4 linked regions of the Caenorhabditis elegans genome follow. The protein of the gene in region 3 interacts with the protein of the main gene of each other region in a pairwise test. Each region holds a gene or a part of one and is shown on either strand. Other genes may lie near its edges. The genes, in order: phb-2, ZC455.1, npr-12 and cat-4.

What was found.
Region 1: the proteins of npr-12 (region 3) and phb-2 interact in a two-hybrid assay, tested with the Caenorhabditis elegans proteins (one large-scale study listed by BioGRID).
Region 2: the proteins of npr-12 (region 3) and ZC455.1 interact in a two-hybrid assay, tested with the Caenorhabditis elegans proteins (one large-scale study listed by BioGRID).
Region 4: the proteins of npr-12 (region 3) and cat-4 interact in a two-hybrid assay, tested with the Caenorhabditis elegans proteins (one large-scale study listed by BioGRID).

What each region holds. Positions count from the first base shown.
Region 1 is NC_003280.10:6,249,604-6,257,435, forward strand, and holds phb-2 (Mitochondrial prohibitin complex protein 2), read left to right. Parts: upstream 1-1,807; 5' UTR 1,808-1,811; coding exon 1,812-1,938; intron 1,939-1,983; coding exon 1,984-2,120; intron 2,121-2,230; coding exon 2,231-2,440; intron 2,441-2,521; coding exon 2,522-2,932; 3' UTR 2,933-3,177; downstream 3,178-7,832. Other genes in the region: T24H7.2 (Hypoxia up-regulated protein 1), read left to right, coding at 1-567, 610-738, 793-1,014; dbd-5 (uncharacterized protein), read right to left, coding at 3,390-3,482, 3,524-3,799, 3,845-3,933, 4,009-4,114, 4,515-4,643, 4,775-4,855, 4,912-4,989, 5,061-5,123 and 2 more. UniProt on the Caenorhabditis elegans protein: PHB proteins are essential during embryonic development and are required for somatic and germline differentiation in the larval gonad. A deficiency in PHB proteins results in altered mitochondrial biogenesis in body wall muscle cells.
Region 2 is NC_003283.11:12,769,884-12,778,572, forward strand, and holds the start of ZC455.1 (LIM domain protein), read left to right. Parts: upstream 1-3,638; coding exon 3,639-3,697; intron 3,698-3,924; exon of another isoform or gene 3,925-3,926; coding exon 3,927-4,040; intron 4,041-4,113; exon of another isoform or gene 4,114-4,245; intron 4,246-5,487; exon of another isoform or gene 5,488-5,493; coding exon 5,494-5,620; intron 5,621-6,181; coding exon 6,182-6,348; intron 6,349-7,360; exon of another isoform or gene 7,361-7,489; intron 7,490-7,601; coding exon 7,602-7,653; intron 7,654-8,689. Other genes in the region: srt-43 (Serpentine Receptor, class T), read left to right, coding at 1-167, 281-622, 897-962.
Region 3 is NC_003282.8:6,932,654-6,941,314, reverse strand, and holds the start of npr-12 (G-protein coupled receptors family 1 profile domain-containing protein), read left to right. Parts: upstream 1-3,666; coding exon 3,667-3,683; intron 3,684-6,254; exon of another isoform or gene 6,255-6,275; intron 6,276-8,661.
Region 4 is NC_003283.11:10,560,897-10,569,040, reverse strand, and holds cat-4 (GTP cyclohydrolase 1), read right to left. Parts: upstream 4,162-8,144; 5' UTR 4,128-4,161; coding exon 3,965-4,127; intron 3,398-3,964; coding exon 3,302-3,397; intron 3,255-3,301; coding exon 3,057-3,254; intron 2,999-3,056; coding exon 2,784-2,998; 3' UTR 2,602-2,783; downstream 1-2,601. Other genes in the region: vps-54 (Vacuolar protein sorting-associated protein 54), read left to right, coding at 1-1,540, 1,594-1,787, 1,832-2,237, 2,284-2,386; col-152 (Nematode cuticle collagen N-terminal domain-containing protein), read right to left, coding at 6,891-7,634, 7,980-8,120. UniProt on the Caenorhabditis elegans protein: Involved in serotonin and dopamine biosynthesis that affects movement, mating behavior, foraging behavior, and cell migration.

The sequences.
Region 1 (7,832 bases), on a different chromosome or scaffold from region 3:
ACATCTGAAGAAAGTCCAAAAACAAATGAAACTGAGAAAAATGCTTCTTCCGGTAATGCAACCGAAGTGAAAGAAAAGAAAAAGGAACTTCCATCAATTGTTCGCTTGCGCATTACCAACAAATATCCATCTGCATTCGTTCCAAATAAATATGATGTTCAAGAAGAAAAACGTAGAATGGAAGCATTTGCTGAAAAAGAACGACTTGCATCCGAGAGAGCTGCGGTGGAAAATGAATTGGAATCTTTCAATTTTGAATGTTCACAATATCTCGAAGAAACTGAGTTCACTGATTACATGGCTGATGAGGAGAAAACAAAATTGGAAGATTCTGTGAAAAGAATTCGTGCTTGGCTCGAAGACGATGTGACGAAAGATACACCAACGAAGGATTTCACAGATAATTTGCTCGAATTGAAGAATGTTGTACGGAGTGTGAAAAAGAGACAAGAACACGACAAGGCAGTTCCAGAGAAGTTGAAGAGCTTGGAGACTCTTCTGGAAACCACTTTCTCATTGACCACTTTGGGTAACAATGTTGACGAGGAGAAGGCACTATTCAAAAAGGTACAGAATATATCTAAATTCGTGTAGCAATATTTTTTTCAGGAAGACCGTGACGGTTTGAAATCTAAATTGGACAAACTGAAAATTTGGGTCACAGATGTTCGGAAACACCTAGATTTGAAGAAGAAAACAGATGATTTCAACTTCACTGGAAAAGATATTGACACCAAGGTACATTGAGATGAACTACAAACACGAATACTAATTAATCATTTTATTTTTCAGACCAAAAATCTGAACCGTGAAGTAGATCGATTCATGAAGAAAATGAAGAAGATCACAACATTGGACGATCTTGCCAAAGACGGAAAAATTGATATCGACACCATTGTAGAAGAAGCAGAGAAGAAAAAAGCCGAACAAGACAAGAAGAAGGAAAAGAAAAGCACGAAGAAAGCAAACGAGTCGAAAGTAGAAAACGAGTCAGAGATAAAGACCGAGCTTTAAATTTTTTGAAAATTATATTATCATTTGGAGCATTCTCTTCCAACGGGATATTTTTTACTCGTTTCTAAATACTTGTTCAATCTTTTTCTCATGTTTGCCAATGCTTTGGGATTTTAATTTATTAAAAGTTCGAATGTGATATGATGGTGATTACTCCCATGGTTGTATTTTTTTTTGTTTTCTTGTAGTCTTCTTTGATAAAAAAAATAAAAATATTTGTCTGTAAACGCTTGTAATTCAGTTATCGGCCGATATCGGTACTCTATGTCTACAACAAATTTTGCTGGCGAAACTACTGTTTTTGAATTACCGCGTACATTGTGTCTGCGCCTCTCTGCGTCTTGCATTGCCTCTTCAACGAACTAAAGGCGCATGGTATTTCCTGAGTAGGTCTCAGAGCGTCTGTTTCCCTGCGTATTTCTCTTCTTTCTCAAGTCGCTTTTTCTTTGTTTTTTATGCTCTGAAAATGATTTTTATCTAATGAATGTTGGTTATATTCGAGATATTTGTATTTTCCATGTTTACTTTTTATATGGTAGCAATGCGGCACAAAAACGGTTTCAATGCCGCATAATTCAAATTTCGTTTTTAAAATAAGTAAGATAATGATATCCAAATTGAATATTTTGATAATTCAAAGCCGAATTTCTTTTAAATTAAAAATTTACGCATATTGATATGCTCATTCTTATTGTTATCATGCTAATCAACTCATGAATTTAACCTTGTTCTCTTTTGAAACGATTTTTGCATCATATTTCTTTTGAGTCATCATAATGTGTCTATTTTGCAGCAAAATGGCGAAACAAGGGCAAGAAGCAATGAAGAAGGCTATTCAAAATGCTAGAGGAGCTGGAGTTGGTCTAGGACTCGTGGCTGCTGCCGGAGCCGCCGTTTACGGTGTCGCCCAGTCAATGTTCACTGGTAATTATTTATATTAAGTATAACGATCAAATTAATTGTTTTCAGTGGAAGCTGGACACCGAGCTATCATGTTCAACAGAATTGGAGGATTGTCGACGGATTTGTACAAGGAAGGACTTCACTTCAGAATCCCATGGTTCCAATATCCAATCATCTATGATATCCGTGCCAGACCAAACCAGGTACGTATACAATTTTCATAGTGGCGGTTTTGAAAATTTAAACACTTATTTTTAAAAGTATTCCTGCGAAAAAGTATTCATCTGATAATCAGTCATAATTCAAATTGTAGATTCGCTCTCCAACTGGATCGAAAGACTTGCAAATGGTCAACATTGGACTCCGTGTTCTCTCTCGACCAAATCCTGAACATCTCGTTCATATCTACAGAACTCTCGGACAAAACTGGGAAGAGCGTGTTCTTCCATCGATTTGCAATGAAGTTCTTAAAGGAGTTGTCGCCAAATTCAATGCTTCACAACTTATCACTCAACGCCAACAGGTAAATCAGCTATTTAAATTTTTAGAAAATTATGGGTTATGATCTGGCTGAGTTTCACCTCGTTTAAAATGGTTTTTATAGGTTTCTATGTTGGTTCGCAAAACATTGATCGAGCGGGCTCTTGACTTCAACATTATCCTCGATGATGTTTCCCTCACCGAGCTCGCTTTCTCTCCACAATACTCTGCAGCTGTGGAAGCTAAGCAAGTTGCCGCACAGGAAGCACAAAGAGCAACCTTCTATGTTGAACGTGCTAAGCAACAGAAGCAAGAGAAGATCGTTCAAGCTGAAGGAGAAGCTGAGTCTGCAAAACTTTTGGGAGAGGCCATGAAGAACGATCCAGGATTTTTGAAGCTTAGAAAAATCCGTGCTGCTCAAAAAATTGCTCGTATCGTGTCTGAGTCTGGAAACAAGACTTATCTCCCAACAGGAGGATTGATGTTGAATATTGCCGACACCGACTATTTGAATGTGACCGACAAAAGACGCTAATTAAGTCATTCCTGAATCTGATCTTACCCGCATTGATGAGTAATTGGAAACTGTAATCATGTTTTTTTAAAAATTTCCCGTTTAGCATTATCCCTCTCTTTTTGTTTAAAATAGTAGTTTAGTTTTTCTTTCAACCCATCAATTTGTTATTGTTTTGTTTCGAATAATTAATAGAAAAGAGAATCATCATGAATTTTCTTCATTCTTTTTAATAGTTTTCTATTTTCAATACATTTCACTTTTTCGCTAGGTATGTTACATTTAACGTTTTTGGTTACCAGAGTGACAATCAAGTCCAATTCAAATGAAACCAATCTGATAACCAAAAAATTGTACAACACCGGTTCAATTAGAAAAAAGATAAATTGGAAGGCGGAGTAATAATTTAACATGGCAAGGACTAGATTGAAGTGGGGGTTGGCATTTTGAAGAGAGCTCAGTTTCAATTGTATTAGTATTAAAGGGCAGCAAGTTGTCGTTCCAAATTCTCCTTGAAACATTGCTTGATATCGTTGAGGACAGACCAGCATGGAAGCATCGATACATCAGCCTTAAATAATTAATTAACAAAGATAATTTCATTATAATTACCTGGAATGTAATTCCCGGTTTCATGTTACAGAATCCAAGGCATTTCTTTCCAGCAGACGTTTTATCAACTTCTCGATCAATACAGCATGCAGTGTGATCATCATTATCAGCAGCACACTGCATCAGATCTAGACCGTGATGTTGTGGGCATGCATCAGTTCCAAGGAACATTCCAGTTAGAACTTTCTTCGAAAGAACATCAAAACTACAAATTCGTTCGCAAGAATTATGCACCTTACGTCCCTTGCAGCACTGGAGGAATTTTGCACTGGCAGTCTGAAAATTTAAAATTCAGATTTCAATTAAGAGGTGTAATCTTACTCTTGGCTTGGCAACTGGAGCAGTCACTGGAGCAGGTTGTTGTGCCAAATGGCTCTTTGGAGCAACTGGACGAGGAGCTGGTCGTGTTGCTGAAATTGAAATTAGAGTTGAAAAAAATTTACATGAAGTTTCATCTGTATGAGTTTTCACATCTAGATACTCACCTTGTTGTGGCTGTGGAACAGGTCTTCTAGTTTGCGGCCGAGCTGGAGCTGGACGTGTCAATTGCTGCTGTGGTTGTGGACGAACGACACGGGGTTGTTGGAATTGCTGTAAATTAGTTAGAGCTTTTATAAACTCTTATTATTACATAATGGCGCCAAAAATACGGTATCCGGTCTCGACACGACAAATTTTTAATTAAATGCAAATAGGTGTGCACCTTTAAGTAGTACTGTAACTTCAAGTTTTCATTGATGCGGAATTTTCATCCATTGTTTATAGTATTTTTTAAAATTTTATAGTATTTTTTTGATAAACAAAAATATTTTTGTCGAATTACGATATGAGTCTTGATATGAAAATTCCGCAGCAACGAAAGTTTGAAATTACAGTAATCTTTAAAGGCGCGCACCTTTTCGCATTCAAAAAATTCTTGCCGCGTCGAGACCGGGTATCGTAATTTTGACGCAAAATCGCAAAACTTTGCATCTAGAACAACTATTTTTACCTCATTTGGTCTGACAAATGTACGTTGTTGTGGTGGAGATACAACAGCGGCTGGTTGAGATGTTCGTGGAATATTGGCAGAACTTGAATGAACGCTTCCTCCTACTGATTGAACACGGGTCTTGGTAGACTAAAAATTGAAAAATCCGATGATTACTGTTATTATTATTTTAATTGAAAACTGTAACATTTGACATGATTAATATGGACGAGAACGACAAAAGGATAATAAAAATTAAGGAAATTAAAATAAAATAATACCTGTGGTCTTGTTCTTTGTGTATCCTCAAAATAAGATCGATGACCATCGACAATAATTTCATCGGGTTTGTAAGATGGATTCTGGAGAATGGTTACAATTGGTTAAAGAAATGAAATCACAAAACTAAAATAAGGACCTTTGGACGTGGAGGATCAATACTGTACAGAGATTTTAAAGTTGGAATGAATCTGGCTGGCGGCGGAGGGACACGGATCTGAAAATGATGAGGATCGACAAGGACAGTGAAGTGAGTGATATAGATGAAATATTGAAACATGCACGTACAAGTGGTGCCTGAGTCTGTGCTGGAGGTGCCGGAGGTGGTGGTGGTTGGGCGAGCAGAGTGATCTGCAACATAAGATAAATAAGGGAATCAGAGGAATCAACAAAGAACATTTGAAATAAACTTTTTTAACTTAATGAAAATCTGTGAATAAGGAGGGATAGTTGGTGTCGTATTTTTTGATTTCCAGGTTTTGAACTAATGGTTCGAACTTCTCAATCATATCCAAAACATCCTGTTTGGCAAAATAATAGTTTTAAACAAAATTAAATTAAAGTTTGGAGGAAACTTTTTTGACTTGGTGCATAAAATCAATTTTGTGCCATAATTACCTTTTCTTGGTTTTGAGTGAATGAATTTGGTTGCTCTCGGAACAATTTATTATCAAAATCGACTTGTTGAACACTTCTAGCAGTATTCACATGTTGGAATGCAACATCTGGTACTTGTGGAACTGGCTGAGGCTTCTGATGATATCTTGGGATATCGGCTGGTTGAACCATTACTGGATTCTGCTGAGATGGACCATATTGTTGTTGCTGATAAGCCTCTGGTGGTGGGGGTGGAGCTTGTGGGATAACAACAGTTTGTGAGTAGATTGGTGGTGGAGCTGGTTGTGGTTGCTGCTGATATTGAAGTGGTTGCTGTGGTTGCTGTTGTTGGTACTGTACAGGCTGCTGCTGTTGCTGTGGTTGGAAATATTGTGGTTGCTGAGGCTGTTGCTGAGCTTGGAATTGTGGTTGGTACTGTTGTTGAGCTAGGAATTGCTGATAATTTTGTTGTTGTTGCTGGAATTGTGGTTGCTGCTGGAACTGCTGTGGTTGTTGAAACTGTTGCTGTTGGAATTGCGGGAATCCGTTGAAATTATTAAATTGTTGATGTTGTTCTGGCCATTGATAGTATTGACAGTGAGCTGAAATTAAATTTTAAAAAACGTTTTTTTTAAGTTTCAAACTGAATATTTTCTTGACAATTATGATGGTAATGTTTTTGGGAAATATGCTACCGTATTTAACTATGAGTCTTGCACCATGTGGCAGCTATATCAGAATTTTTTAAATCTGTCAACTGACATAAATTCATTATCTGTTATTCTAGTTTCATTCTAGAAAGATTACGGATATTTTCAAGTCTAACGGAAAAAAAACTTTCAAGTTTGAGTGATGGGGTGCGGAACAGAAAGACAATATATAATTTTCAAATTTTGAAAATGGTAGTGGTACTAGAAATGCAATATATTCGTGTTTTCAGTGGATAACTGAAACTATGGGTTGAAACTAAACTTTCTACATTAACCTATAATAGAACTTAGAGCTCACCGTTGGCTGCCAATATGGCAACAGTTGCCACAAATCGGTAGATCATAATAATGGTAGATAGAGAGAAAATGGAAAGGTAAGAAGGTATAGACTAGCAAGACCGGATCTTAGTGGGCAGCCCAGCACTGCTAACTAAAGCCGAATGGGGCGTGGCCAAGACGTGGAGCGGGAGAAGCTGGTGAAGAAGATTTTGGAAGAGAGAAGGCGGAGGGAGAGGAACACTGGAAAAGGTCGACGGGCCTCTCTCTCTGTAACGGTGCGTGGGCAAAATGTGTAATTTCTAGTATAATCTAGGCGACACAGAGACTGGTGTGAAGCTGCTTTGAAAGACAAGGGGAAAGATGCCGTGATTGTTAATTAAGAATATACTAGGTGTTGTACATCTTTATGGTCACACTTGCCAAGAACACTACTAGTTGATTGTGGTTTGGGAGTTTCGTTTCAATTTTCTTAATTTCAATTGAATTACAATGATGAAGAGTTTGATGGTCATGACCTTCGCAATTGTTTTGTTTGAAATAGTTTGAATAAACGGAATACATAGATGAAGCGGTTATTCCGGTGAGACATCTTTCACTTTCAAGGCGCTAACCTTTTTGATTGGCAATTGCATATCCCATCACAAACAATTACATGCCTTCCTCTTTCATTTTCTCTCTCGAGTCATGACACCCTGACGACACAACGTGACGAAACGGCGCGACACCGCTAAACCCGTCTCCAGAAGATGAAGAAAAAGCTGAGAGGATATGAAGATGAAGCATTGCGCAATCGACGAGGGCACGACGCCACAGATGTTTTGGCCGCCCGCCGCCGCCGCCACAGGAAAGGAAAAGCCTTTTGAAAAAGGACGAAGCAAAAAAGAAAAGCAAAAGATAAATAAAAAAACGAGTTCCTTTAGTAGATAAATTGGATATATAGAATGGACCGACTGTGGCTGACATTGTCTTTTTAGATGAACATACAAGTCCACAACAATGGATCTTGTAATTTCTAGAAAAACTGAAAAGCTGCGTAGACTTTTCGGTATTGAATGAAAAATTAATAATTGGTCTGAAATCTCGACAATTCGCCGCAACTTCTCAATCAACTCTAGCAAACCTAGAAATCTATGCATAGCCTGAGGATTGAATATTTGGAGTTCCAGAAAAACAATCTCATACTATTTGGAAAAATGATCTGTAAAGATTTAAAAAAATAAAATCTAACAATACCGAATTCAGCAAAAAATGTACTGAAACAGTTTCTGATGGAAATTTCAGGGGCTCAGATTTGATTTCTTCGGAAAATTTCACTAAAGTTGATGGAAACATGAGGAAAACTAAGAGAATATCTGACTATATATGATCGGACTCATTATTCTAAATGTGTGTCACCTAATAAGAACATTTTATGATCGAGTATCCTAACTTCTTAAAGCCATTTTGAACTTTAGATGACGTAATAATAAATCTC
Region 2 (8,689 bases), on a different chromosome or scaffold from region 3:
TATTTGACGGAAAACGTGTATTCTTCTCCATTGCTCTGATCTACACATATGGAACTTTGGTTTCCATGTTTTCTCCATCTATCATATTCAATTCGGCCATAATGGCATGGATTGCAGATCCATTGACAATTGATCCAGAATACAAAACCGATGAGATTACCGACTGGGTAAGATATTTAAGATGATTATTTCCTTTTTTTTTACTTGCTGAATATCTCTTTCGAATAGATAATTCATTACAAGACTTGCAAATTCAAATAACTTCCTCTTTCCTATTTAGTACCGTAACCATGTCCAATCAACAAACAATTGGATCTTCTGCTCTGGCACGTGCACCCTCTACGCCATTTATTGCGTCCTCATCAACAAAATGCAAAGGGGACAGAAATCAAAAGCATCACGTCAAGTATTCATCCAATCAAGCATTATTTGTTCTTTCAACACATTCTCTGCAATGTCATATAATGCTTTGATGTTCACAGTTCCTGCTCCATGGGTGATTGCGATTGCAGAACTGTGTTGGTCAATTGTTCATGGATGTCCAGCTATCATCTATCTCACAATGAACAAAACCATTCGAACAGAGTTTTTGAAATTTCTCAAATTGAAGAAAACAAATAAGGTAAACAATGCAACTTCCTTTTCCAATATGAATACTTCAAAAAGTAACTTTTTATAGAATCAAGATACAACTCGTATTGGTAATTTATGCCCGTAGATATGAAATCAAAATTTCTTGTCATACTATAAAACCTTATTAATTTATATTTATCTATCCAAACGTTTTCATAATTGTGTAGTATCAAAAACTCAAGATATGTTTGCCTAAGCAACCTTGCTTTTTTGTGATTTGCAGAAATAGAGTTATGCTTTTAATAATATATGTATATTTCCAGAGAATCCATGATATCTCTTCAACTTCTAACATGCGGCATACTGGAATGCCTCCAACCACCAATTAACCTCCCCTTTCCAACAGATTCGTATTATATTTTATTATATTCCCATAGAAGTGTAAAACTTCTAAGCCTACCCAATCTCATAATCTTACTATCAATCGATCTCTCTGTGCAAATTGTAAATAAAGATCAAAATGTTTCACGTCTGCAGTTTGGTCTCCCAGCTTGCAGGATTTTCTCACAATTATTTGCTTCTCTGGTATTAAAAAAATATAAAAACTTATCGATAGGTTTACCAAATTCCTAAAGGAATTCATAAAATACACATTAAAAATATTTTGATATAACATGTAAAAAATTAAATTTTTATGTGCTGAATCGGCTGAAATTTAAAATTTTGTCAACTGGCGTTTTTCTGTTGGTTTTTATAGTTTCTGCAGATAAATAATCAAATTTTTATAATTAACTAGAACTGTAGTTATATCAACAAAGCATGTAAGATAAATTACCAATGCAAGAAGAAACAGTTTTTGAATAAAAATCAATTTTCAGACTCGGCTACACGGAAAAGTTGCAGAAATTCGGCGCTTTGGGTCAATTTTGTGTATAAGCAAAAAAGCAGAACCGTTAATCCCCTTGTAAAGAAACCATTTATCGCAAATATAACAGGATAAATCTAATCTAATAGTAAAATTTTCATATACTGGTCTAAATACACGAAACAGTTTGAAAATCTTTTCTCCGCAACCTGGTCTAACACGATAGTCATTGAAGTTTGAGAAAGCTGTGACGAGCAGTCAAGAGCCATGACATGCTGCGTCTCGCTCATTTCTACACAGTATTATCTTTGACGCCTTTACTCTACAGTACCTATATCCTGTCTGTGGTATGTTCAACATCTGTGTTGGTTTTTGAATACACGAGTAGTTGAAGTCGCGCGTTTTTGTGAAAAATAGTGGGAGAAATGTGTGAGACGCCGAGAGCTCTAGAGATGAAAAGTAAGGAGAACTTTACCACAATGATAACCAGAGAAACCGCGCAATTTCTCACTTAACTATCGATTACCTATTTTTTCATTTTTATTATCATTTAGTCACTCTAAAATTCTTGGAAAATTAGATTTTTGTTCCTCACTTTTATGGTAAAAAGGGATTTTGTTTTAAAACTCTTTTAATTCATATAATCCAATTTGACCAAATTTTCAACGCTCCATTTCAAAAAAATTCAAACTTTCAGTCAGTTTTGGAAAAGTACCAAGATTTTGAAAAATTGGACTTCTTTAGCAATTTTGAGAATCGCTGCTGGTTTGAGACTCTATAATGATCGATTAATTTAAAATTTTTGGTTGAGTTCCAAAATGATAGTTACCGTGAGAAATTTCCACTTTTTGACTGTAAATTTAAAAAAATTCAAAAGTTTTGTAATGTTTAGTAGTTAGATATTCACCACTTTTAATTTGAACACTATCATTTAGAAACTGTTGAGAAAATGTTTTTTTTAATTAGGGTATGGTCATAATTACAAAAACAGATCATTATATACTCAACCTTGTGACTCACTTTCTTTGGTACTTGAGTGTTGTTTACAACTTCAGTGAGACCAAAAACGAATCGTTTAGGGATAATGGGAAGATCATATAAGATGCATTAGCGACTGAGATATTTTGGAAATATTTCGCAAAAGTTTCTGTAGAATTAAAAGTTTACTAAAATAATGAAAATGGTTTTAACTGTGTAATTTTGAGCGTTCTTCCCAATCTAATTTTTACCTTTTTTTGACTTTATCACGTTTCTCAAAACAGTGGTATCTTCTTTCTTGGCCAATTTTCAATTTAACTCTGTGAATCTATCCAATATAACTTTTTCAACAGTTTAAAGAATTTATATATTTTAACACTGCCTGGTTTTCAAAGTTTATACTTAATATGTGTTAAACTGTGGCGATCAATAATTTTTGCTTTGATAATAAATTTTCTGCATGTTTCTTTTTGAAATATCTTCATATTTTAAACTATCTAAATTTAGGGATGCAGTTTTGATTATTGGCATTGGGAAAAGTTATTCAGGACAACTCCAGTCCTAGTGGAAATGTTTCTGAAGTAAAATCCTCACAAATGGCAGTTCATTAAAATGTTAAATATTCCGGCTTAGAATATGATCTGAAATTTCATTCAATAAAATTTGCCCTTTTCCCTCTGCTAAACATGCTCATTTTGTTCTGCCAACACATGAAAACGAGAGAATCACACTATTTACCCGACAGATTACCTTTCATGCTGGCCTTTCTCTCCGGTGCAAATCTGTGGCTAACTCTGACGCGGTTTTGTGTCCGTGCTCATAAACATGCCATGGACAAATGCTTGTTTCATTTATGGTTTTTGTGTTACTGTTTCTGCTGATTTTGATTTTGAACAATCATCTGCGACTCTTGCTCTTTTGCTCTGCCTTCTGTGCTCATGGCTCTTGATCTAATACCTCTAAGTTTTTTTGTTTCCGCGCGGAAAGGAGTCTCAAGTGCTCCAACCCAAGCTCTTTCACGTATTGATAATACATCATTCTCTCTCGTCCACTTCCAGTCATGCTTTCTCTTTTTCTTCTTTTTCTATTCTAGAATATTTTCTGTATTTATTGTCTCTAGACTCTAGTCAAAATAGGTCACAACAAACACAAAAGTACAAGAAGTTGAAGTACAAATACAAGAAATAAGTAGAAGAAGTGACAAGAAAACATCTAATCCACAATGTCATGTTCCCTGTTTGTGGCAGAAGTTCGTGGCTCAAGGAGATGCTCCGTTTGTAGGTAAGAAGATTAAGAAACTAATTGTACTAACACTAGAAGACAGAATACAATAAAGCATTTCAATAAGATTTGTAAACTTATATGTAGATTCGGAGGTTTTTTAGAAAGTAATATTAAATTCTAAATTGAAAATATTAAACAAATTCTCAAAAGCTCCATGTTACGAATTTTTGAATTTGAAAAAAAAACAATCGAATTATAGTAAGAGAATCACTTGAAAATATTTCAGATGCGATATATCTGCTCACGAGCCAGCGGCCATCTACGTGGCACCGGAACGAATATTTTCAAATCTCCCACCAATCGCCACGTCATTCAGCAACAATAATAGTAGTTTTAGCAGGTATGTTCAAGCAATGTATAGCCGTTAATTGAAAATGATAATCTTGTCTTTTTATCTCTATTTACCTGTCTCGTTTGCTCGAGAACTTTCTCCTATTTAATAATAAAGATCGAGAAATGGATATTTCGCAAAATCGAGAGACGCCGGAAATGAGAGAACGTTTGATTTGCCTTGGTTTGACGTGATATCCGATCCAATTGTGATACGGATTGCGCAGTCTAGTGCTCTTGCCAGATTCTCCACACATTATGACTTTATCATTTCCGCTTTTGTGTCCTCTATCAAGCATGACGTGAAGCAATTTGATTGCGGTTATGAGTAGAGCTTTTGAATTTTATTTTTTGTTCATTTTTTTCAAAGAAAGTTAAAAATCAAAAGAGTATTTTAAAATACATATACCTGGGTAACATTTTTTTTATAAAATTAATCGTTTTTAGAAAATTTGTATCTACAATAGTGTCAATTTTGGTCGTTCAGAAAATTTGATAAATCTTCTTTTTCGATGGATTTCCAAGCACTGCGAATTCTGAAAATTGATATAAAAACCGACTTAGAAACATTTGAACGAACACAAAATAACACAAGAAACCAAAAATTTAGTACGTTATTTTGTTTGAAATTTAGGATAAGCGCAATTTAATTTTATTTTCTTAGTTTTTTTTAAAGAAAAATATCAATAGTTTCGGGAATTTTCTTCAAAAAATTGTTGGATGTGGAAATTTGCCGAGACAAACTTAGTAATGAATAGAATAAGAATATGTAAGTTAAATATTTTTCGTTTTTTCCCAGAGAATTTTGGAAACTTATCAAATGAAACTTAGAAATCTGTAGAAAATATAGAAAACAAACAAAAAAAATTATTTGCAATTTCGACTGAAAATTCAGTAACCTGATTTGAAGAGCTTCAAAAGTTTACAGCACTATTCAAAAATAGCGTAAGCTGACATTTACTTTTATTTCTGTTTTAAGACAAAATCTCTGAGTTTCAAGTTTTTTTTCAAATTCCTCTTTGCATGGATATTATGTAGTTACTTATGTCAAGATTTTGACACATTTTCCATTCACTTCTAACATAAAATGCGCATCAAAAACCAGTACCTATTCCTTACAAGGAGACTTTTTTTCAAAAATAATATTGTTCTGTAGTTAGAAACGCAGAGAAATGCCTTTCCGAGACGAGAAGATCGTTCATTCTCTGTGTGGAAAGCTTTGTGTCAAGCATCCAGTTTTTTGTGAACTTTCTTCTATTCATTTGCTCCTCAGCGGCTTGCCTTTGCTCATTGCTTGTTCGGCTTCTTGTTGATTACTGTTATTTTTTTGTTTTCTTCTACTCGTATTCCTACCTTATATTCAACTCCTGTTGAAAGGGATTGTAGAAGAAACAGTTCAGATGTATTTTGTGAAAATGTGTGAATATGAAATTTGATATCTTTGAATTAATGTATTTGTTCAGGATGTCAAACACTCCTCGAAGTGCAACTACCACAATAATCAACAATAACAGTAATAACAGTGGTCTTCCAATGTCCGAGCATTCGGCATTTAGTCCATATGCCAGGCCATCTTCATTGACATCGCAGGTATATTTAACTAATTTAATTATTTAGTTAAAGTTGAAAACCATATTGTGTACCAGGTTTTAAACTGAAGTTAGTGCAAATTTTCAGACGAAAGATTTTTAAATTGATTCATAGTCTGGCAAATTTTTGTTTTGATTTTAAATAAATGAAAGTAATCTTTAATAATTTCCTAAATTATTTTTCTAATTATTTATTTATTTTTTAGGTTTATTATTTCGATATGATAACAAAAATTTTTTGAAGCCTCCGAAAGGCATACTGAAATTTTATAAATTGACTTAGATTCCTAAATTTGTCTAATTAAAATCGTAATTTTGATTCCAAAATAAATATACAAAATTTTTAGAAACGTAAGATTGTAAATCCCCATTAAATTTAAAAACACTTTTTTTTCGCAGAAATAGGTTTGTACACAGATCAGCTAAACAACTAAACAATAAATTCAAAGAATGTTCGGAACTTCTAAAGCTAACCTATTCTCTTATACACACCGACCAAAACCTCTTTAAAAGCCTCTTCAATTGATCTTTCGTGTCTTGATCATCAATAAAAACCGTTTAGGATTCAAAACAATATCATCAAACTCCTCACGTTGTTCTTCGACCAGAGCCCCGATTAGCACTGCCACCTCTTCTTCAGCGTCAAGAAGGATCTGACTCGAACATCTCGAAGAAGATACGCAGTAAACGAAGAGAACGTCCACGAAGTGTCGGTTTGCTTGATCTGGGGTGAGTCAAACTACGAAGAAAGATATTTCCGAGAGGATAAGCGTAAACGATGTGGAACACTGTGTTTTGTACGAATGACATTTTTTGAAAGATATACAGTGTAAAAGAGGAGAGATGAAAGAAACGGAGCAAGTACAGAAAACACGCGTATAAACAAAGACAAGCGTGGGATGCCGATGATCACTTGAATTGAGGGTGAATGTCAAGTGGTCCACAAATATAGAGGAAGAATGTTTTCAGATAATTGATACTTTCAGATATTCATAGATTTTAATTTTAGATCCCGCGCTAGAACATGTCTCGAGACCATATGATAATTCTTAAAATATGCATTCCACATAGGGCCCCCTACTTTGCGGAGACTTTTAAAGCGTAGGCTTAATTTAAAATCTATATTCGCGTCATCTGTTTTTCTAGAGCTTTTTTCGAGTTTCTCACTTTACACAGAAGGTTGTTGTGTGCCAGACTTCCAGTTCGAAAAATTTCAAAAAGTTAGTTAAAGGAGAAGTAGATTTAGACATTTTTTTAAACTAAAGTCACCAAACTTGACTACTTTTCCGTCTCACAGCAGCCAAAGTTTAATTTTTATTCAAAACTCACATATTTTGCTATACGAACAAGTTGGTAAAATTCAAAGTTTTAGCTTATTTTTTAGCTGCTTGTTTTTTTTTGTCAATTGGAACCACCTCAAAATATGTTCAGCACATTTTCAGAAAATCCCATTATTACATTTGCTCGTTTGGAGTCATATTGAGGCAGCAATAAAAAAAATTCTAGAACACTTACATAATTCGTCATAACTATGCAATGTCTCATGACCCACTTAAACATATTAATCTAACAAGTGTTTGAAAATAGTGAACTCGCTCTCCAAACTAGGCCAATTTTTTCAACAAACTCTAGATTCCAACATCATTTCATAGCTCGCCCAGACATTTTTCCATACACCCCCTCCTCTACCAATGTGTGCCTATTAGTTTGGTATGATAGTGAGAAATGCGTGGCGCTTTCTTGCGTGGTGGCGGCGGAGCAAACAGGGGCTGGAGCCCGTCGGTAGAGCACTTCTTCTCTTGCCGCCCGAGCAACCCGTGTAATAATCCCTCTCAGCTATTAGGCGGTTGTTCGTTTGAAATACGCGCCAAGACGATCACAGTTTCAAGTTTGCTTTCGTTTCCCACGCTTCAGTTTTTTTCAAATGAAATTTGTTTGGATATTTGAATTATATAAATTAAAAAAAAAACTTCTTTTTACAGAGTAGCCAGCTTAACATATCTTGAACCGGAGAGCAACGACCACGACGATAAAGTGAGTACTGTTATATGTTTGAGAATCTTCAGTAGATCAAATGTCCAATGCTTAGTAATAGAACACTTAAAGAACATCTCAAATAAAAAAAAAAGATTTTATTTGTATTTGGTACAAATGTTATATCTCTCTTTTTACTGTCGATACTACACTCAGAAATCATATTCAATCACGAGTGCCAGATAAGTAACCCCGAAGTTCAAAAATCTTTAATTTATACGTTTTTGAGCGGCAATGCAATATTTTTAAACTTGAAACTCACATAACCAGTTAACAAAGGGTTCGAAGTAAGTTAAAGGTTCAAGTTAACTTTTTCAATTGTTCAATTATTGTTGAATTTTTTAGTACGGTTTTGAGTTTCTTTTAATTAATCTTTTTCACAAATCACAAGTTGAATCACTTGACCATTATGAAGTACTTCATTTTATTATTGATATACTCTCAATTGTGATATCATAAAGTTCAGAACTTGATCTCAAATTTTCATTCATGTCAATTTCTCTCCAAATTTTTATTTTAATTTTTGGATTTTCAGTAAAGCATCTTCTCAATTTTTTACAGTAACCTGTAGTTCGAGGTGTTCGCGTGACGTATCTGATTTTTCCACAGGGCTTGTAATTGATAAAGTAAATTCTGGGATTAAAAATCGATGATGTGGTTTAATAATACTCGGTATAATATGTGGAATTCTAGACTCAAGTTTCAGTCAAACCGAAATGGCCATTCAAAACTTGAAAGAAAGCAAGGTCCTATAACACCTGTAAAAACTTAAAGAGGAAAAATTTAAAATAAATAAAATTAGAGCATAATATTCTCTGAAATAAATACCAATTTTGAAGTACGGTTATTTTACAATTATTTAAACTATTCTGTCTGGTTTTTTTGTAATAAAAAAAGTCCAACAAGATGAAAAACAGGTGCATATTTTCTGATAATCTCTACCAAAAAAGGTTGCGCCCACATTAGACTCCAAGAACACTCCTTCTGCCAAAAATATGTTTCTTTTTGACTGTTCAGCTCTGAAATTATGAGCCTC
Region 3 (8,661 bases):
AAAAAGTGTGTTTTGAAGTCAGTGAGACCTCCATAGAAATGTTCAAAGCAGAAGTAAAAAACAAGGATACACTTTTTTTTTGTTTTGTCGAAAGTTTCAAGTAAGAAGAAAATGAGATAAAAAGGGTAGAGATTCTCAAGTTTCAAGTGACATTCAGAGAGAAAACTTGTCAGTCACAATGTCAATCTTCTGAAGGGAGGTTTATGAGCCAAATCTTGAAGACTTGAAGACTTATTTCTTCTAAAAAATATCTTCATTTTTTATGAGTCCGTATGATTGGCGGTAAAGATATCAGGTAGCTTTTGAGCGTTTTGCACTCAAAAAGCACCGGCTTAAACAAATTTTTTGAAGATTAAAATTTCAGTTTTTCAGGATAATAAACCTTTTTTTTGCAACATGTTAAAACCAATGGAAAATTATATATTCCGGCTTTCAAATATTTTTGACATTCTGCAATTTTTGCAATTTTTGGCTACAGGCAAAAAATCACCGGTCTCGTCACAACACTTTAATACATTTTTGAGCAAAGTAACAACAAATCTCACACCGTTAGAAAATTGTTTTTGTTTTTTTTCTAAAAATTCATTCCTAAACCAATTTAACTCCAATGCAAGTTCAGCTGTTTTTTTTTTGAAAATTAAAAAAATTTTCTCGTTTTCTTGTATTTATCACATAAAACTCAATTATCTACATACTCATATCCATTATAAGCGTTAGATAATCTATTGTGGGTTGTTTTTCATATTCAATTTTTTTACTGTTTCAAAAGATTGGTAAAACATTTTGTGACTGAAGTTTTCAGTCTCAATTGGCTATATATGAAATCTAAAAATATGTTTTTATTGTTGTGGTATATTATATTTACTCATTCGTAATATTTGTTGTTTCATTTCAATTTATGGTCCCTTACCCTCCATCTCCTTTTAAATTTTCATTTATTTTAATCGAATAGGTTAGCTTAGTGAACCAATCGGAAACCACAGAAGATCACTGGTCGCATTTTTTCTGATCAACTGAAAGCTTATTTAAGTCTGCAAAAGATGAATGAAGGAGTGTGTGTCTGAAAATAAAATGATTCATTTTATTAATCCAGATGAAATTTGGAAAGTATACCAGATCTGATTTTCTTGAACTCATTTTTTTGAACTTTTGAATTATGTATACCGTATTTCCTCTATTAGTTAGGCACCTCTATTATAATAGTTTTGCACCGCCATTAGTTTTGCATCTAAAATCACTAATCGAAAATTAGTTTTGCACCCTCTATTAGTTTTGCACCTCTAATAGTTTTGCACCCTTTCATTTGTTCCCTATTTTTAGGAATTCAAAATTTGCATTATAAAACCGTTCTAAAAATTAGGAAAACTTTTACAGACTTGGTATAAAAAGTCAAAACTGGCAAAATATGAGTACAACTCGTACAATTTTTGCGTATCAGTCGTAAAATTCGTCAATTTTGGTTCATAAGTTGTTACTGTAATTGATGATATTATGCCATAACTTAATGGAAAACGTGAGAAAAAACCTGTTCGAAAATTAGTTTTGCACCCTCTATTAGTTTTGCATCAAATTAGGTGTCCGAAAATTAGTTTTGCATGCCTTACTAATAGAGGAAATACGGTATTCAATTATTTAGGCGTAAGTCAGCGCTAGTTGCACAAATACTTTGAAACACTTGTACTAGGTTAAATATCAAAATGAAAATTCAACAAAAAATCAAAAGTTGGAAAGATAAGTTCGTACCTAATTAAATTTCAACTAGCATTTCTTTCAAAAATTTGAAATTAAGGAATTTTTTTGATTTTTTCTAACCATGATGATCGGTCAACTTTCTCGCCTATCATATATCTAATTATACGGAATTTCGCTCACTTTTGTTTTTTGAACATGCTCATGAAAAAAAGAATATATAATTACATTCTAACCATTGAACAAAAAAAAACGCACTTAAAATGTTCGCGGTGATCATATTACAAATTTGTTCTTGATCAAGAATATCTCATTTTGTTTGAGAATCTACTGTGCAATTCCTGTTTATAACATTTTATTATTATTGTTAATTGAATTTAAAATCGTCCTCTATTTTTTTTCAATTTGAAAACACTAATTGCCAAGCCTGAAAATATAATTTAGTTTGGTTCCGAAGATGAACAGCTTATTATTTTCAAAGAACGCATGTTTGAGATTTAAGATTCAGAGTTGCCAAAATACTTTGAAATTCTATTCAAACTTCTTTTATTTACAAATTTGCAACGAATAACGGAGTGCTGAAATGAACCTCTTCTAGCCCATCGATAGTTTTGTATTCACTTTTAAAGCTGAGAAAATAAAAAAATGTACTGTTTCATCTTATTTTTATAAACACAAAAATATTTATCGAACAATGTTGATTTGATTTTGTGTCCTGAATCTCCTCAACTCATCAAAACCTCATAATTCGTATTTTCCCATTGGTCATCTAAATCCATTATTTTTTTCCAAAATCTCGTGTTCCGGCTTCACTTTTTTTCGATAGCTTTAGTGGAAAAGATTTTAACGACTGGTGCTCATTGCAAACGATGTGAACCCAGTAATTACATTAGAACCCATCGTCCGCCCACCAAAAAGCAATGAGACGTTACTCAATTTGTTCAGAAATGGACCTTCTTAGAAGTAATTCTTTGAATACTTCTTGCAATATTCTGCAAAAATAAACTTTCTGAAACTAGGTGAGAAATAAAAAATTTTCTTGATTTGTTGTGAGTTCTTAAGAATGCTAGAAATTACATAAAACTATAATTGTTTTGTTGGGAAAGTTTAAGATGCCTGACAGTTTTCTTGGAATTTTTTTTCTAAAACAATCAACTAATTTCCATCATTAAATATTTGAATTTCAAACTTTTTTCAATAAAAAAAGATTGAAACTTCTACAACTATTTTGATGTTTTTGATTGAATAAAGCTGGAGTACCGCCCGTGAGGATTCGTTTTAAAAATATTTATAATACTCCAAAATTACCAAATAATTACCTTTTTTTGTAATTTTCCAACATTATAATAGGACAACTGAGTTTCACCACTTTTTGGCTATAGTTTAAAGAATTTAAATAATTCTCTAATTTTAAAACTATGATATTCGAACGTTTCAGGACAAAAAAAATAAAGGAAAATATTGAACCCTTTTTCTTGCTAACTCACCTGGCAGTGACTATTTCCAGCAAAGAAAAAACATCTTTAAAAGTCGTATTACTTGTAAAAACAAATGTGCCGAAAGGTGTATTTATTATGCAACGACATTTTCCTTCTTCCTCTAGTATATATCCACGATTCTTTCCTCATTCCACTACTATATTCATTCCGGAGCTGTTTCCACGAGTCTCTTGACATTTTTTTTCACATTCATTGTCTACTTAATTCTTTTACGACTTTTGCGCTGTTCTATGTTTTTTTGGAACACGTTATTGAATTTGGCAGAAAAAATTAGTCACCTTTTAAGCGGCTTGATATGTTGTTACAAAAAACTTTCAATCACATTTTTCAATCTGTACACTTTTTGTACTCCCTTATCTCTATACTACTTGTATTTACCACTCTTTAAAAACTGATCTTAATTGTTTTTACAGGTAAACACCATCTGGAATCTTTCTAAAAAGAATCTGTAGGCCGATTTTATAGCAACATCACTATAATGACAGTTCACAAAACGTAAGTTGTTTTTAAATGTTTCTGACAGAAAGTTTCAGACAGTAGCATAAACTAAAATAAAACTGTTTCAAATTGTGTACAAATCAAAGGAACGTTGCAGAACAACGATGCTGTTTTTGTTTCAACTTTAAGACGTAACTTTAGATACATGAACATTTAGTGGTCTTCTTCTTTTTTGGTCAAAAAGTGTTCTTTACTTCCTTTCCTGCAAATTGCAAAAAAGAATCGAAAACACAAAAACCAGAATGGTCCTCCACAATTTTGAATAATATATGGCTCACGAACCCTGTCATCCCAGGAATATTTTCATGGTTTCATGGAATTGTTCGTATTTTTCTTGATGATGTGGGTACCAATTCTTCTTAAAAACGTTCAAGTGGGCCATGCTTCATTAATATTTTTGTATTTAAGCTTTCTAAGAAACATCTTCCAAATGTTATCTTGATTTTTTACAAACACCGACATTCGATTTTCAATACATTTTTCTGATCATTTATGCAAATCTGATTTGTTTTTTCCTTTTCTTTTCCTTATTTCAACATTTTTATCATGCCTACTTCATCTTTTTCCCATTCCCATTGCACAAGATTTTCCTCACTATGTTTCTTCAATAGCTTTTCATTATTCCGTGCTTCAACAAAAAATTTATGCGAATTTTAAAATTGAATTCGTACAAACAGGATGTTGGCATCTAGACGAAATGTCGACTGACATTCACAAATGGTTTGACATTTTTGAAATTAATTTTTGTACAGAAAAGTAATTTCCAAAGAATCTAGGATACGGTTGGCATATCGAAATTCCAGTTCCTTATGGGTTTTTTTTCGTAGAAATTTCGAGCGTATAAATACCAGATTTTTCGAAGGCTTTGAGATTTTAGTTTTCATCATCTTGCTGTCAAACTGTACCTAATCGTTTGAATTTAAAGTTGAAAGCTTGATTGAAACCTGTAAATTTTTACTGTACCGAGATCAGAGTGATAACTTTGCGATAACATCACACAGTTGTACCATCAAGCGGACAATATTTCGCCAATTTGGAAATCTCGCAATCAATAGATATTTGATTGGGACCAGATCATTTAGTTAGTTTATTCTTAGGTATTTGAAGCTCAACTTATTCACAAAATGTTTTGCTAAATTTCCAAGAGTCCACCTACAATTTAATAGTCTTATTTGGCATTTCCGTATGCCCACCCACCTCCATTTACTTACTCTATTCTTGTCCATTTCCTGTGTATTCTATGTTTTGAAACACACTCAAATTCACCTTACCCATTCAATTTTACAAATTCCTAACCTCGAAGGAGGTACTTCATTGAGAAGAGCTAATCGACTCCTATTCTTCGTTTCTTCTTCTTTTTTTACATTTTGTTTCAAAAGAGTGCTGTGACGATAAGAATTTATTTTATATCAGGTCATCATTTTCTGTGAGCAAACTAGATATTTTAAGTGAAAAATTATAGTTTAAAAAAAAAATTAGTAACATTTTCAGACGTATACGTACTACTTGACTGTCTCATGATTGCCTACTGAATGTTTCCTCATATGTTAGCGTGGGCTCCAGCTTTTGATTTTTGTGCCTTACGCATTTTTGTAATCTCAGTTCATGCAACACATTTTCAAGAAGTTTGACAAATAGGCATTTTTGGTCGCGGAAGAGTTAAATAATATCACTCTAGAAATGTAGCTTTTATATTCCCAATTGGCGTCAATAAATTATTCATTTTTCATAATTTCTGATTATTATTCAAATGTTTTTAAGTACCAGGGTGTACCAAGCATCTCTAATTAGTTACCATGACAAATTGATCCCCATAGTTTGAAGCTTATACCAATAGTATTAATCTTCTCAATTTTTGAAGACTCTTTTAATATTTAATTCATTTCTCTTCGCCTCTTCCTACATTTTCTATTTTTATTCTTGACTTCCTGCTCTTCGCGGACCTTTTGAGAGCATTTTGTCGTAAAATTAAATAAAAATTGAAGGGGGAATGAGCAGGAAGAGAAATTGCAATTTGCTCTTCACCTTTGAGTATAAAAAAGAAAGAAAAAAAGAGCACACAATAAAATATATTTCAATTTCAATTTACCTTCCAATCAATTCTTATCTGGATTTCATTGTTCTTTTTTGGTTTTTAGTCTCTTCATCAAACCCCGCTGGGATTTTTTAGGGTAATGGAGTCTGAAAAAGAGGAATTGAATAAAAGAAGCAACGAAAGATTTAGAATCATAGATTACGAATCAAATGGAACACGAGATTTCTTGCTGAAGTTAGCAAATAACAACCACTAATCGTCAATTTTTGTCACTTTTACAAAGAATTTTTTGGAAGATTTTTGGAATGATGCTTATCAAGAGCATCATCCTAATTGTAGACCTTCACATTAGAAAAATCAAAGTTAATGCGCAAGTTCATCTCAAGCGAACAGTAATCACAAACTCCAAGAGCCCCGTTTTTGGTCAATTGTTTTTTATTTGATCTGTGCCAAGAATATATTAATTTTTCTTTTTTTTTCAATTTTAATCATGTATTTCATTATAATTTCTCATAACAAATTCGTGGGGGTATGAAGCCCTAATTTGTTCCTCATCTTGAAGCATCATCCACCTCCATTTTAATGTGTTTTTTGGAACAGCTTATTTTTTATTCGGCACATAAAAATATTTTTTAGGAGGCTTGTACAGAAATTTAAAAAAATTCTAATTTTTAGGATTAAGCATTAAGTTTATCTTCTTATCCTGTTACATTTATCATAAACTTCGCCGAGTGTCACAATTTTTTTTGTGAAGTATATTTTTGTCGGATAAAAATTTCTCAAAAGCAAATTATTTGCTCTAATATATTTTTAATATACTTCCCATTGTATGATTCTAGTTTCAAGCTCATCTACTAGTCATCCGACACTTGTTTTTCAACAAGAAAAAAAACAACAAAAAAATTGGAGAAACCTTGGACCCATCGTCTCCGTTTCCCCCGACGTCGCTACTTTTCTATTCTTGTCTATCTATAAATCTATGAGTCAGAAGAAAAGATACAAGATCATTTTGTTTCCGGCATTCAATTCTTTTTTGGAATCAATTAAATTGAATAAAATTAGATTTGAGGTTCCTTGGACGCGAATTTAATTCGGGATCTGGCTCGTGTGTATCACGAATTTCTTGTCTCGGAAAAAAGTTTAAAGACGTCATTTAAGTTGAGAAAGGATAAAAAAGCTTAAAGAACACGTATTCGTATCAATTTCTAATTTTCTGACCTTTCAATGAGATGTTCTAAAAGTCTATAGGAAGAAGCCTTCAATTAAAAATTCAATGAAAATATTTTCAAAAATAGTGAAAATCTGTTGTGAATAATAAAACAATATAAGGAAATAGAAGAAAATCTGTTTTTATTTTTTATTTTCTTAATCTAGAATTATTTCCGTTTATTCAGATATTTATTTAATGGTTTTCAATAAATGATTCAAAACACAAAAATTCAGGAAAAAATATTACTGTTTCAAAAACTGAATTTACTCACGCGCATAATAAACCTTTGAACTTCGTAGCACTCAAGTTCAAATTTCATGATCCTGACGTATTCAACATTTACAACTTTCTTGCTTGTGACTATTTCTTCATTAAAATTTCATTCACTTTCTCTCTCTTCCTTTTTCTTACTTTTTTTCATTTTTCCTCCCCTTCCATCCTATCTCCGCGTTCTTTTTTCCCAATTCTAATTGATTCAGAACCGACCAGATCAACATTGAAGCGTGAAATTGAAATGACTGCCTAAAAGGTTCCAGAAACTCTGGTGAATGGAGTCTCTTGTTTTGTTGTTTTTTTTTTGTTTTGACAAAATTTTTGGTTTTTCTGTGTGTGGGGGGCTTCCAAGAAGAAGAAGAATAACCTAACCATTCCAATTCTCAGCAAACCAAATTATGTTTTTTGATTTGAAAATTTAGTGTCCAATTTTAAATTCTATCCATATACGTTTGAATTTTAGATTGCTTTCACTTAGCACTTTAGTTTTCTTTTCCTAATGTGATTTTCGAATTTCAATTTTAAACTGTTATGCATGACTTCATCCAAAACCACTCAGATTTTGGAACTTTTGAAGCTGACCTCCATTCAAATTTATTTATATACATAACATTTAAAGGGGGGCACTGCCAATGAACATTTATTTGGATATCTCGGAAAAATCTAGAAAATTACAAAAAAAACATCCAAATTGTTGCTAATCTCGCAGTTTGGGTGTCTTTCAAAAAACTTTAGACCAATCAGCGCAAAACTCCACCCACTCCCGTTTTTTGGTCAAGAAGTGGGAGGATAGAAATGCTGATTGGTCGCATTTTGGAGGAAATTCAAAAATTTAGAATAACAAGAATCATCCGAGTCGAGATTCATTTCGGACTTTTCCGGGCCTTTTAAATATCCGGATTGACGCTACTCCAATTTGAAGATTTCCGACATTGCATTGAACGGACCTAGACGTTTTTTTTTTAAATTTTTTTTTTTGGACAACCAATTAGCATTTTATGTCTTATGAATGTCTAATGTAGCTTTAGTGTCAACTATCATTTTCTGGAAAGAGTGTGAAAATTTGAAGTGTTTTTTATTGCTTTCACTGTGACGTGGGAAAATTTACGTTAACGAGATATTAGAATTCAAAGATCTTTTGTTTATGTCAGTTTGATTTTGATGACAATCTAGGATCTATAGGTATACAACTCTCTGCGTGACTGTTTTTAAAGTGATCCTGCCAACTCTCAAAGTACACGAAAAACAAGTTATCTCGAATTACGAACTTTTAGTTCAAAAATACAAAAAACCAAAAAAATAATGTATTATTTGAAACCATAAATTCAAGCGGATTATGTTCAAAATCTTCCTTTTTACATCCTAGCACTTTCGACGCAATTTAATATTCAATGCATACACGGAAACGGGTCTTGAATTTTTGAACGGAAAATGTGAATTTGGTGGTTTCGCGCTGG
Region 4 (8,144 bases), on a different chromosome or scaffold from region 3:
ATGACGTTGTGGATGGAAGATTGGCTGGAAAATTAGTTGCAAAAACTGATGATTTTTGGCAAGTCGTCCGATCGTACAGTGGCCTCCAGGAACAACTTGCCAACGCGTTGCAATGTGTGATGGTTGTTCGAAAAAACTTGAAAAGAGTCGACGAACTAGTATGCGACCAGTCAAAAAAGATTGTAGAAGTTCATGAAAGATACGAACAAAAAAAGAAACTGCTGGCAAAACTTCATGATATTTCATGTCTCCGAGAAGCCCAATCAACAGTTCAAATGATGTTATCACAAGGAGATTACCCAAAGGCTATAGAATGCATTGAAACGAGTCTAGATGTTCTCTCAAAGGAATTGAACGGCGTCACTTGTTTCCGACATCTTGCATCACAGCTTCGAGAGCTTTATACAGTAATTGGACGTATGATGAATGAAGATTTTGCATCATTAATACAAAAAGAGCTCGGTGTGAAGCCAGAAGCTGGAACGATGATTCAAGCCGAAGGAGAACTTTCTGCTGTCCTACTTGGATTGATGAGAATGCGAAAGTACTCATTTATTGCAGTTTTAAGAGAGGAAATTATTGAAGGAGTCAAAAGTGTAATGCGACAAGTTATTAAAAATCAAATTCTAAATAATGGAGTTGATTTGAACGATTTTGATCCTAGTTTGACACAGTTGGGAGAGCCAGTACGAAGAATGAAACATGCTGATTTTTTGAAAACTGTGAAAGCTGTTATGGATGAAGAGTTCTACTTTTGTAAACGATTGGAAGCTCTACAAGATATTCTACTGGAAACTGTTGAACGAGCAAATCCTCTACATCGACATGGCTCTGAAGATATTATAGTTGAGAGAATCGAAGAAGCAAAAGATATTCACGAATCTGAGTCTGACGATGAAGTTGGTACAACTTTTTCCAAATCAGCTAGTTCAGGAGGATTCTCCGTCGGTGGTTCGGCTTTATCCTCTAACGCGTCAGCTACCACTCTTCTTTCGATTGAAGTCAGATCAGAAGCCTTTTTACGACACGTGCTCCCATTGATCGCAGAATTCGGTCATCAATGTGCGCAACAACGGATTTCACGATTGCTCATTGCTCGGGCCAAAAATGCATCAGTGACAGAAGCTACTACACCTACCCAACTATCTGAATGCATTAAACTCGTTAAAGAATTTCAATCCAAGTGTGACAAGGAAGGATGGTATTCCACTCAGAATCAAAAAGTTGGAGGTCTTGGAAGATCTGTTAACAAGCTTTCTATGGATTACATTGAAAAATTCCATGCAGCTCGAAAGATTCGTATTGGAAATATGCTTGACACAGAACTTTGGAAAGCGACTGATGTTTCGATTGTGGATCAGAACATTGTCGACATGGCGATGGAAACGGGCCAATTAAGAAACACAAAGCGAATAGATGATGGTCCAATAAAAAAATCATTCAAAAGAACAGAAAGCGCTGTGACAATTGATTCAACAACATCTACTTCAAATCAAATTCAAGGTGTAATTGTTGATGAAGAGAACTATGTTGTTGTTGGGTTTGTTTCAAATTTTGGATTTAGGATTACGAATATTAATATTTTAATTTCAGATCATCAATAACAATGATCCAGCTCCTTTCTGACTACTGTGAAGCCATATCTGAAATGCCATCATTTTCCCAAGACTGGAATTCGCGAGTTGTGGAATTACTGAAAACATTTAACAGTCGGTGTTGTCAATTGATTTTAGGTGCAGGTGCCCTACAATTGGTTGGATTAAAGACTATATCTGTTCGAAATTTAGGTATTGCTCTAAAGTTTTACCGTAAAAAGTGTTCTTTTTTCCAGCACTCGCAGGTCGATCACTCGAGTTAGTATGCCGCTTCATTCCGATGGTTCATGATGAGATGGACAGAGTTCTTCCTGAAAATCGAAAAAGTCTGCTTCGGTACTTCAAGCAGGTTGAAAGTGAATACCGCGATCACGTCAACGAAATTGCTGCCAAATTAATAAGTGTAATAGCTCATTATACAACAAATTGTCTTGGAATGTGGGATGTGAAAGGAGTGATTCCATCGCCAGAATTTCAACAAATTTGTCGCCATATGCTGAAATTCCACAATGGACTGGTTGGCATCATGCCAAGAGATCAGATCGAGGCGTTGTTCCGTCAAGTACACGAAAACTTTAAAGCCAACTTACGAGAACACGTCACTGGAATGGGTATCACACCTCATGACCCTTTAAAATACGGGTAAGAATAAATTACTGAAATTTCAACTATAATGTACTATTTTCAGATATGTCACAAAAGATTACATGTTTTATCAACAAAATGTGAAAAACATGGAAAGTTGCCGTAATTTGGAGCTCGAGTCGCTTAATGACATTATGTTTGAATAGGACTTTTCTTTGTAAAATATTTATTTAATTTTCAATCTGGTTTATTTCTTGTGTATGATTGTGATTGTTTGACTAATTACGGTGGCTTTTATTTCACGCTTCTTCTGTAAACTTCCCCAATTCACTGGTCCTTCATTCCTAATTTTTTAGTTTGTGCTTCTGGGCTAGCTTTATCACTTTCATTTCCCAGTTAATTGTTTTTGTTTTTATTTATCTGGTATTTAGTAATTTATTGCATGTACAATAAAAGCATATTACAGTATCCAGGCAATGAACATGTTGTATGAATTTAAAAAGCTGAAGCATAAGATGTTAGTAGATTCACATGGAAAGTTATGAAAAGTTAGTAACAGTTAAAACCCAAAAAAACAAGTAAAAAAGGAAATGACTAGAATTTTTAGCGTTTGTTGATAAGATTAAGGAATTCTTCGCGAGTCTTTGGATCGTCACGGAATACTCCCAACATGCAGGATGTTGTGGTGGAAGCATTGATCTTTTGAACTCCTCTCATTACCATACACATGTGACTAGCTTCAATAACAACTGCAACTCCGGATGGTTGTACAGCTTGAACCATTGCGGTGGCAATTTGCTTTGTAAGACGTTCTTGGACTGAAATATTTGAACGTTTAGGTTAGGTTCCAATCAAAAATGTAATTTCTCAATTTACCTTGAAGTCTTCTGCTGAACATCTCGACTATTCTTGCCAACTTGGACAGACCAAGAACCTTCTTGTTTGGAATGTATCCAATATGAACTTTTCCCATAAATGGAACTAAATGATGCTCACAAAGGGAGAACATTTCAATATCTTTCACAATAACCATCTCATCGTGATCCTCGTCGAATACTGCCTCGTTGAGGAGCTCTGAAAAATGAAACTTTGAGCTTTAACGTTGTATTGCTATAACTGACCATCAAGTTGATCATCGTATCCCTTTGTGAATGCCATCATTGCTTTGGCAGCACGTTCTGGAGTTTTCAGAAGTCCCTGACGATTGATGTCTTCTCCTGAATTCCCAAAATCAGTCAACGTGGGAAAATGTATTTTGTTTTCATTTTTTCCCTTATAATCAACGGACACAACCTATTTTTTTCTGATTTATGTTATAGATATATCAATTGAAATCACAAGTTCCTGATGATGTGCTAGGGTACCTTGATTGCGTGATGTAATAGATTACAATTTGTCATGAGTCTTTAAATTAAAACAATTTTCGATCTTGATTTTTGATTTGAGAGTGGAATATATTGAACTGAACTTCCTTCCAGACAATAACAACTATCAGTTATAGATCATCGACTTTCAAAACATCTTGGTCAAATTTATATTTGGGAAAATATTTATCAATATTCTTTGAGTCACTGATAATGAATAAATGCTAAAACATTATAATCTCTAGAATGAATCAAAAAGTGTGTTGAAATGTTTATCGAAACCAAAGTTTTCCTAATTCTGCTGACGTAAACAGTTGACAGTACGTTTTCAGAACTCTATAATCTATTCTTAAACAGCTTATTTTAAATTTGTTGTTGATCGACTAATACTTTCCGAACCAAAGAATCACATGAACTCACCGACATGTTGAATGATGCTCTGATAGGCATTGCACATTGATTTCAAATGATCTTCCTTTGGAATCGTTCCGTTTCTTTTCTTCATCTCAACTTTATCGTCTTCGGATCCAACACTTGCGGCGTCAGATGACAAAAATCCGCTTTCGTTCTCAATTCTGGACATTTTGATATTATGATGTTGATAGAGTGGGTAAAGCCTGAAAACATTGATTGAGTAAGTGAGTGAAATAAGGTGATATTGAAAATGAGCCGTGGGTAAATCTTAAGAAAGCTGAGAAAGCGTAGGCGACAAAAAGAAAGGATAGACATTCAAATAATTGCCGGATGAAACCGAATATGTGCAATGTCCAAGCAAGAAAGAAGAAATTACGAAAAAAAAAGGTACAACACGTCATGTATTATGAAAGGTATTCTGGGAAAAAATAGGCAAAATGAAGGGACAGAAGGAAATCAATCTAGTCGAATGGATAGACTTCATCATCTTTTCCCACTTATGTGAAAAAATGAGAAAAAAAGAATAAGAAAATAGCAAAAAATCGAAAAAGAAACGGAAGACGTCGTCCCATACATCAATCGTTTTCCGCCATTCCTTCATGGCAGCACTTCTAGGTATTCAGGAAAATGTGGAGGAAGAATAATTTATTTATGCAAACAAAAGGAACATGTAAAAAGAAAATGAAACCGATTGATTAGGTGGATAGGCGCAACAAGAAAAGAAAAAGTGGACTGGTCTGAGGAGATACAGAGAGAAGGATCGTAAATCAGCGAGGAATGATATAGACCTTCACTCACGTGGACTTCTAGTTCACTATCAGTTTTGTTGCCGAAACTTTGGCAGATTAATATCTACAAGTTACTCTTTCATGCACTACAATCGAAAAAATTGAGAAACTTTATATTCAAAACGAAATTTGGAATTTATCAAACTTCACATATATTTCTCACGAAATTCATCAAATGGTCCTCCTGGGAAGTTATTTAAAAACAATAATAGGATCACATGTGGTAGAATATACTCCTCCTATTTTTAAAACTCATCACACCTAATAATATTACTCATCGAAACAACCAATCTGAAAAATAAACTAGATTCTGGCAAAAAAATTACTAATGAGTTTAGTACAACACAGAAACCGTGTTAAACTCTCATATATACTGCCAACAGCCACAAAAATAAAATACAATTTCTAATATTTCACCATGTCAAAAAAGTAGGACCTCAAATTTGGGAACGATTTCATTCAACAGTTTCGGTTTTCAAAAATTGTAAAATTTTAACTACTTTCCTTTCTAAGTCATCATCAGGTGGAAAAATGAGAAAGTAAAGAAAGAAAATGAAAAGAATTGAGGGGTCTAAAGAAGTACACTCACTTTCTTCTATTCTTCTACTTAACTACCTACATAAGAATTTCGTTGAAACAGTTAAAGCTAGTAGAAAGATCAAACCCACGCCTTTTTTTTCCCGGCAGACTCGATGTGTTTTGATGACATTCACACGAAATGACGAGAACGGTTCCAAAATCAGCTGAAGATGAGGGAAGAGGCGTTTCGAACTTGTAAATGTTTTCCTAGTTTTCTAGTTCTTTTTCATCAGATATCGTTTCTTATATTTGCGATTTCTGGGCTGATTGGGTACAAGTTGGGAGGAGGTGATGACGAATGAAAACAAGAAAACTTGAAATACTATTTTGTTATGATCAGGATTTTTTGGGTTATTCGAAGTCTCTCATAACTTTTGGTTCTTCAGAGTTAGAGATTGAGAATCAAAAAGAACTATTTGAAAAAACTGAGCTATTGTCAATATTCTTGAAAAGTAAAAAATTAAAATCGAAAGTTGTTACTGAAAAGTACTGCCAAATAATACCGTAACACTCGTAGAGGAAGTTCCCCGCAATTTATTAGGTTGAACTATAAATAAGATAAGAGCATAAGCAAAATGCCGCCGCTAATGATGTACTACCAATTGAAGCCGCAATTTATATGGAGTTTATAATCATTGCATGATAAATTGGTTCAGGAACTTTGAATTGTCACCTTTGAGATAAGATCGTGCACAAAAGGAGTTTGCGGGATTAATTAAGTGACGGCGATTACGTCAGAAACATAGAGAACAAGTAACATAGAGAGTGTCCTAAGGAATACGGTTTTCTGACTGGTGATGATTTAGTGAACATCATCTTGCACAATTTTTTAGACTAGAATGTTCAATGGCGCGGTTGAAAGAGTCAATAGATTATGAACTGGATTATGTGATTTGGAATTATTTATTTTCCTGATAAGAATCACTTCAAACTTTTATTACCGCAAGTTTGACTTTATTAGACCAAACTCTACAGGCTTACCGTATATTCTCTATTAGTGCTGCACTAATTTTTGGGTTTTTTTTTTGAATGCATCACTTTTAAAAACTGCAGTACTACTTTAGAATGCAGAACTAATTTTCGAGCGCCTCTGTTCAATTGAAGGTCATTAGCATTTAGTTACGAAAGGTCACCTTTTTGAGCATAAATTAATTAAGATTGTGGGTTTTCGTATTTCAATTATGTATGTAAATAAACAACGAATCTTGTACAATTATACAAAACACTCAACAAAATGTCAAAAATATTTTGACTGTTGATATAAAAAGAGGTGCATTTCAGAAAAACCCCGTTAAAAGCATCATAAATTAATAATCATATATATTAGGAAAACAAATAAACAGAAAGTATCCATCTTCTTCTCTTTTCTTATAGAATAACGATAAACTTTATATTACTTTAAACAATGGTCAACTATGTCAATTTATGTTACAATTTCCATCTGCAACATGCAACCTTTACAAATTTTTTTGCTGTTAACTTTTATTCAATTATAAAAACCAACAAGCCAATAACCAACTAGAAAATAGAATAACATAATTTATATATATATATATGTATAAAACTTATATTCCCTCGTATTGACGTGCCGGTGGCATTGGTTCCACTCCGTAAGTTCTCTCCGGGCATGGACAATATCCAGCATCTAGGCCTGGCATTCCATTTTCTCCTTTTTGTCCCGCTGGTCCAATTGGACCTGTTTGACCTTCTTTTCCCTGCAATCCGGCTTCTCCGCGAGTTCCAGGTTTTCCATTTTCTCCATCAACTCCTGGGTGTCCATTGTTACCAGCGTTTCCCGTTTCACCGACTGGTCCAGTAGGTCCAGGGTGACCAGATCCTCTCTGTCCATTCTTTCCTGGCAAGCCGGGTTTTCCAGCAGCCCCTTGGTTTCCTGCACCTCCTTGATCTCCTGGTGCACCAACCTCTCCAGGAGCACCTGGATTTCCATCGGCGCCATTCTCTCCTGGTCGACCATTAATTCCAACTGGCCCAGAAACTCCATCGGGCCCTGGCGCTCCTGGGGGTCCTGGTGTGCATTGAGTACACGATGGGGTAGCATATGTATCAATTTGTGCATTTATTGACTTTCCTTCATTTCCATTTTGTCCTGCAACTCCTGGGCTCCCGTCCTCCCCATTTGTTCCAGCAGCTCCTGGTGGACCAGGAGGTCCCACCGGACAATTGTTTGCTTGGCTACAATTGCATTTCTGTTCAGTAGAACGTGCCAGACGAGAAAAATATGTTGGTTGTGAAGGAGGTGAATTGTTGATTTGATTTGACATCATTTCCCACGCGTCGGTTGAATAATACTGCAATAATACATTTAGTAAATAAATTTTGTGCTCTTCACGAAACATGTATATCTACGAAAGATTTCCAGCTAACAAAGATATAAATCTTCAAAATATAACAATTTTCGATCTAGATCTTTTGAGAATACAGCTGTTCTATAAATTGAATCTTAGTTGCACGCTCTATATTTTTGTAAATTTGATTGAAAAGAATACGGTAATTGTGAACACTGATATGTTCCCGTGAAAAGATTATGTACAAATTTATGAATTTAGGTGATCAATTCTATTTCTAGAATTAATCTTATCATTAAGTCATTATCAACTTGACATGCCTTCTTGCTGAAAAAATGCAGCACTTACATTAAAAGCTCTCATTTCATTAAAAACTTCATTCGAAATATCATTGATTTCGAAGAGAATTACTGCTGAACAAATAATACTGCTAAAGATCAGCAATGTTGAAATTGAATAAATTCCAGTGAAGAAATGAATAGAAGCCATGATGATTGGTTGGTTTAAAATTCC